2 linked regions of the Caenorhabditis elegans genome follow. The protein of the gene in region 2 interacts with the protein of the main gene of each other region in a pairwise test. Each region holds a gene or a part of one and is shown on either strand. Other genes may lie near its edges.

Region 1 (2,612 bases), on a different chromosome or scaffold from region 2:
CTCTTAATGGGTTCCAGAGTTGCTTTGATGGGTTCCAGTAATAATCAAATAATACTCGTTGAATTAGCGTCCGACTTACTGGAGATCATAGAATTCATTTGATTTTCACAGAAATCACTTGAAGATTTATGTTTAATATTGTGACATCGAATCGAATATTTCCTAGACCTATAGTATCGAACTGTTATATCAAACCACAATCAGAACTAATTTAGACAAGTTGATTATGTGTCCAATATTGCATCTATTGGAACAATAGGATTTATGAAAGTTAACAATAAATGTTGAATGCATAAATAGACAAATCAAGTAAAATTATTCTAAAGGTAATTTTCAAACATTTCCACGTGCCACTGACACTCAAACCAACCAATAGTTGTTGGAGTATTTCTTAAAATTTTTGAAAAGAACATTGAACAGTTTTAACATTTATTTGGCAATTCAAACAGCAAGAAAAAACATGGTATATTAAATTGATTAGTAGTACAAAAGGTATACAAAAGCTTACATATTAACTCAATATGGTCTTGGATATCCTGGATACTGTCCGGGTGGAGGTGGAGGATATTGCCCTGTTGGTGGTGGTGGGTACATACCGGCTGGCGTGGCTCCGGTTCCAATTTGATATGGCTGCTGTTGTGGATAGCCTGGTGTGCTTGAGTATCCTGGGTTGCTTGGATACATGTTAGTTTGATAGGGTTGCTGTGGAAGTGGAGGTGGTTGTTGGTTGTACGCCGAGTATCCTTGGGTTGGGAGTGGTGGGGCTTGTTGGACATATCCACTAGGATTCACTCCAGCACCGATTCCCATAGGTGGTGGGGGTGCATATGTGGCTCCGTAAGGTCTTGGTGGCGGTGGAGCATATCCAACTCCGGCGCCAACTGGTGGTGGAGGGGCTCCATATGGAAGAGGCATAATTGGAGTAACACCGAAGCCAACTGGGGAACGATAAGAACCGTCACTAGAGGAAGAACTTGAGGAGGAAGAACTGCACGTGCGACGGCCGTACATCTGAAGAAAAAGTGTAAGTTGAGGGGTTTAAAAGGGAAAAAAATCAAACAGAAAGGTTGAAAAACGATCGATTGTGAGTTGTTAGTTTGCGATCCGCCTATTGCCTCAAAAACGAGAAGGTTTCACAATGTGATACGGTTATCAGTTTGCATTGTCAGAAGAAGTTTCTCGTTTTTCCATAGAGAAGAGCAAACAATGACGTATATGGAAACGAATGAACAAAAAAGAAACGAGGGCGTTTTCAGTGTATATTTTGAAACTTTCTTTGCAATCCATGAGTCATGAGGATAGATCATGGACATGACCTTCTGGATGATTCAATGGGAAGGAAGATTACATTCATTTGAATTTATAATAGGAATAATATCGAAATGTCAAACTGGAATGCCAATCAAATACAAACGTCAAAAAAATTATCAGGAAGAATGGAAAAGATCAGGGCAATATTTTAAAATTCAAAACTTTTTCTTGAATTAAGCCAGTCTGCTCTCCGTCGGTCTTGTTGTAAGTTAAATCCAAGCTTCGCTCGACTTTTCAGGAAAGACTGGCTGTAGTCTGGAGGTAAGAAATGCTGACCTTAAGTTTGACCGCGACAACCATCCAGACTGAGCCATCCGGACAACTTTCAACCCTATTGGGTCTGTAAGTTTCTTTTACAATTTTAACAGACTTTTGAAACTCAATTACGATTTAATTTTGTTTTTCAACTTCAATGAATTTTATTGTGTATTAGTTCTTGAATCCGTGTAATTTTAATAACTATTTCAGTCCGTTTTGCAAACCAGAAAGGCCGATCAATACACTTCCTAGCTAAGATTTTCTGCGCCTATGCATTTCGCACCTGTTCTATTCCGAACATGTTTGCGGATCAGTTCTCTGACCACCTAGTGTCTTCACATGATTTTGACATTGGAAACATGTGGCCGAATGGTCTAGTGGTATGATTCTCGCTTTGGGTGCGAGAGGTCCCGGGTTCAATCCCCGGTTCGGCCCATTCCTTTTACTCTTTTAAGCATTTTCAGCATGTAACTTTGAAAACTTGTATTTTGATCGAATCGTGAGACACATTCAGTAAAATTATGGGGAATTGTAAGAAAAGGCTTTGAATATTTTTTTATGTATTATTAATGTATTTGATCGCGGAATACATTCATATTTACATCATCTTCTACGAGTTTAACAATTTGTGAAAATTATAATAATTATGAAAAGTAATTTGAATTATATTAAAACAATTTCTCACGATTAGCAATTTTGATTGTTAGAAATCCTATTCCTAACCAAAACTTTCGAAAAAGTCATACTCTGCATTTTCAAGGTCAATGCTTACTGCGTTCAGAGTTTTCTTGTTTAGTAGAGACGCAGATAGACTTGTTTATTGGTTTGTGACTAGTCGACCACACGCAGAGCGCTATTCACGAGAGCGTGCATGTGTAGGAAGAGGCGTTCACGACGAGACGTGGCCGGATGGTCTAGTGGTATGATTCTCGCTTAGGGTGCGAGAGGTCCCGGGATCGATCCCCGGTCCGGCCCACTTACTTTTTTCCTTGTAGCGAATGGTTATATGCTTTTGATGTATTATGCATATGGTTATTTCAGGA
Region 2 (4,810 bases):
CTCCTGAGCCCCCCTGTGCGCGCGCATACTAAATTCAATCAGAAATTTCCGGCACAAGCCGCCGCGCAAAAATTCGTTTTTCGCAACGGAACTGCGGTCAATTTGCTCAAATTTTTCTTTTCGTCTAGCTTTTTGAGTTTCTAGGCCACCGTTTGAAGCGTTTCACTTTTTGGGCCTTGGTGGCCTAGAAAAGTGAAAGTTAGGCCACGTTTTTTTGCTGAGTTCAGTTTTTGATCTATTCGATGGAGTCATCGTCGGCAAGCTTTTTTTTTTTCATTTTTCAGATTTTGAAAATATTATTTTGAACCAAGTTATGGCAAAAAATTTTAAATTGGTGACCTAGAAATTTCAGTTAAAATTCTAGGCCATCACATAAAAGCTTCTGTAACTTTATTGTTGTTTTTGAATTCTAAAAAACGCTGCCAACACGATACGACGTTCCACGCAAAATAAGAGGTCGTGGCCGATTTTTGGATTTCTAGGCCACCAACTTTAAAATATCATACCTTTGTTAAAATTGAATATATTTTGATGTTTTTGAAAAGTCTAGTGAATTTTTAAATGTGTTTTCAATTTAAAATTTTTTAAAAATTATCAATTTTGAAAATTCTAGGCCACGAACTTCAAAACCACAAAACTTAGCGAAAACTCAACTAGTGAACTTATAAAATATACATTTTTAAATTTTCTAAGCCACCCATTTGATTTTCTAGGCCACCTACTTCATCTGACCATAATTTTGCGTAAAATCGTGATTTTTCAGAAATTAAAAAACTAGATATACAGTATGAATGTTTATCTACTATACTAACAACTCAAATTTTAGATTGAAAAAAATTCTAGGCCATCAATTTGGGTTTCTAGGCCACCAACTTCAATTGGCCATAACTTTAATTCAAATCAAGATTTTTCAAAGTTTTAAAAACAAATATTCAGAGCATTTTCTATATTTTCAAAACAAACATTTCATTTTTCCAAAAGGCAAACGAATACTCACTCCAGGCAGCGTTTTCTGATCGTGAAGTGTCGCCTGACAGCGGACGGCGCTGTCTCGATGGCAGTAGGTGAGAAATGCGCAGCCTTTGTGCATACCTGAATGCATTTCAATTTCTAATGAACCGTGATTCCGGTACTCTAACCACACCCTGTCAGGCTTCTGGTAGTAGTAAGAAAATTTTGTGGGGAAATTTTATCTAGCAAAAAAATTTTTTTTTTTTGGATTTTTTTTTTCAAAAACATTTTTTGTTGAAAAAAAAACAAAAGTTTAATTTTTCTGCTTACCTGTATATTTGTCCTTAAGAATTGTGAATTCATATATTTTACCAAATTGCTCAAATAGGTGACGTAGATCTTTCTCTTCCAAGTTTCGGGGGATCTGAATTCTTAGATATAACTTTTTGCGAATTTAAAAATTTCCAAATAAATTTTTTTATAAACATTTATTACAACGCTAAATATTTCATAAAATCTATTACATTTGTAATTTTTAAAACGGTTCGAAGTTGGTGGCCTAGAAATACAAAATGTTAGGCCATTAACTGAAAATCAATTTAATATTTTTCACTTTTTGCGAGTGTTTTGTACACTGACATCATTTTGAATTTTAAAAAATTATCGATTTTCCGCCAAGTGACATCATTTTAAAGTTGGCGGCCTAGAAAACCAAATAACACAAAAAACTAGGCCATTATTACTTAAACTTGAAGAATAGATATATTAATATATTCTTAAGTTTAATACATTTTTCAAAATTTAAAAATATTAACTTTCAGTCAAGTTATGACCGTTTCAAGTTGGTGGCCTAGGATTTTTCTATGCCACCAACTTAAAACCGCTATAACTTGGCTTAAAATCATAATTTCTGAATTTTGAAAATTGTTACAAAATGTGCTCAGTTAACACTATTATAGCAATTTTAAAAACAATCCATGGCCTAACTTTGCATTTCTAGGTCATCAACTTAAAACCGCTCTAACTTGGCTCTAAATCAATATTTTTTGAGCGCAAAAAAGTTTGATACGATACAAAATAATAGTAATTATTATTTTTTTTTAAATCACAACATTTTTCAGACTTTAAAATGTTGACTTCGAGCCGAGTTCAAGTGAGTTTAAGTTGGTGGCCTAGAAAAATCCTAGGCCACCACCTTCAGATTTCTCTAGCTTGCCTGAAAATCGATATTTTTTCAAATTTCAAAATATAAGTTATAGCTGAAAAATGTAACTAGCGTGATTAGTAGTTTTCAAATTCTAGGCCACTAACTTCAAATCGCCATAACTTGACTCAAAATCGATATTTTTAAGTTCTGTAAAAACTACTGAGTAGCTAATAATTTTAGTTTCTAGATTTTCATAGAATATAATTATAAATTCTATGAGAAACGTTTCCCTTCTACTCATATTCCCTTAATCCAATATTCCCTAATATGCTCCGAACCGCCTGTGTCCCCCCGGGTTTCTGGGTGCTCATATCGATCTTGCTCGCGGAGCACAGCGACAAACTTGACACACACTCTGACGATGGAGTATGCGAGACGCCGGGAGATATCCGCGTGGTGTAGAGGGGGAGGGAAAAGAGCAAATTTGGTGCAGAATGGGCTTCACAAATGGGGAGAGAGGGAGGGTATCAGCGTCACGCGATTTGTAGAGGGAAATGGGAAAAGTTAAGGTTTCTAAGAAAATTGAAAAATCAAAAAAAAATCAAAAACTTTTCACAAAAATCCACCCCCATATTGCCTAGAATCCCCCCAATTTTAAAGTTGTGGGTCTCACCACGACAACTACAGTACCCCTGCTTTGCGGCGGGACCTAACACGCAGTCTAACAAAGTTTTGAAAATCTATATTTTCAGAAATTCCACAAACCCCAATTTTTTTCAATTTTCAGCCCAACCAACCTGCCCGACAAAAAGCTTAATAGCATCCGGATCCTTCACCGGAAACCCATTTGAATCTGTCGACGAGGTGCTACTGGCGCGCATCTCGTGCTGCTGCTGCCCCATATCAGCAGCCGACGGAGCCGGAGCAAGTGCAACTGTCGGTGGAATGGTGACAAGCTGCAAATTTGTGAATAATCAACAATTTACATATGTTAGATGGATAATTTGGAAGCAAGAACAAAAATTAGAGACAAAAATTGAAAAATCTTTTACCAAAACAAAGTTAACTGACAAAATGTTTATTAAGTAGTTTTCTATATTTCTGTAGTTAAAATGTTCAAATTATAGCTCAAATAGGCCGAGATATAGTCCATAAAAATTGGTAAAGATCAGACATAGTGCATCGATCAAGATATGTCTACAGCTATTCTACAGCTTTTAGCTCAGTTGCTTTTAATTTTATCAAAATAAAATTAACTGACAAAGTGTTTATTAAGTGGTTTTCTATATTTTTGTAGTAAAATTTCTTTAATTATAGCTCAAATAGGCCGAGATATAGTCCATAAAAATTGGTAAAGATCAGACATAGTGCTGCAACTCAGTTTACTTTGATTTCATCAAAAATTTGAAAAGAAAATTATTTTAAAAAACTTTTTTTCTATAGTTTTCTAGAGGAAATTTTAGGAAATTGAAATTTTTTTTTGAAAATGAACCGAAGTATATGGCCTGGAAAATTGGAGGGTATAATAGTTGCACAGCAAAATTTTTTTTACAAAAACGCTGGAACTTTTTTTAAAATTTTTCTAGGTATTCATTTTTTCATTTGGCATCCAAGTCTCTTTATTTTGGGTCCCACCACGAAACCTACAGTAGTCCGGCAGGTTTTCGTGGCGGGACCCATGGGGGTCAAATGAAAAGTATTGGAGTGAAAAAAAAACATTTTTACTAATTGTAAGAAAGAAAACTGGAAAACTCCTTTTGAAACATTCAAAAAAACAAAAGTTTTTTTGGAAATTAATTAAATTTTTTTTAATTTTTGCATGCTCCTTTTAACTACTAAATTTTATACTCAAATAAGGGCCTTGGAAGCCTAGTTCTAGGCCTGGACTACTAATTTTTTTTCTTCAATTTTTACAGATTTTCAGAAGTAACGAGCACGTCACAAAGAAATAATATTACTGGAATATAAAAAATCCCGAAAATAATATAAAATTGTGGCGTAACTAAGTCAGGGAAAGTGAGAGAGAGAGCCGCTACAATTCATGGAAGCTAGTGAGTGTTCGAGAAGCTGAAGGGGAAGAAGAAGAAGCCAAAAAGAGAGTGAAAAGAGAAAGAAGAAGAAGAAGCCGTGCTGCTCAGTCCCCCCACTCGCGCACCCCTCTTCATGAAGACGTGACGCTGGAGACGCAGGTGGTGAGAGATTGGGAGAGAGGAGGAGCTTGAAAGAGCACCTCATCTCAAGAAGAGCCACGATTAAGGAGATCTTTGCCTTTCAGAGCCTTGCGGGGGTTTTGAAATTGGCTGAGCGGCGACTGTGTAACGCATCAAAATTAGAGGCTACAAAATTTGACAAAGCTGATGCTCAATAGAGCTCAATATTGTTGACAGATTCAGAATATCAGTTCTATTACAAAAAACAGGAAGCCATGTTTATTGTGGGGATTCTTTGGTGTTACACTTTACACTTGTGATCTTGAAAATGTTTAGAAAGGAGCATCAGAAAGTGCTCAACTATATAATTGTAAAAAAGTAGATAGTTGACACTTTTTGATAACCTACAGAGAAAAGAGCTGCCTTGGTCGATGCACCATGTCCAAAACCTAGCTATGGGCCTTATTCAACTTAGACGGCATGTAATATAAAGTTAGAGAAAATTTGGTATTTAGCATTGTTTTTTACGAAGAGAGTCGATGCACCATGTTCGAAAGGTATC

Evidence for each region. The genes of interacting proteins can lie anywhere in the genome.
Region 1: the proteins of unc-75 (region 2) and C16B8.3 interact in a two-hybrid assay, tested with the Caenorhabditis elegans proteins (one large-scale study listed by BioGRID).

Annotation. Positions count from the first base shown.
Region 1 is NC_003284.9:3,967,624-3,970,235, forward strand, and holds C16B8.3 (Annexin A7), read right to left. Parts: upstream 1,012-2,612; coding exon 517-1,011; downstream 1-516.
Region 2 is NC_003279.8:11,590,492-11,595,301, reverse strand, and holds the start of unc-75 (RRM domain-containing protein), read right to left. Parts: upstream 3,057-4,810; 5' UTR 3,001-3,056; coding exon 2,896-3,000; intron 1,376-2,895; coding exon 1,282-1,375; intron 1,093-1,281; coding exon 998-1,092; intron 176-997; exon of another isoform or gene 104-175; intron 1-103.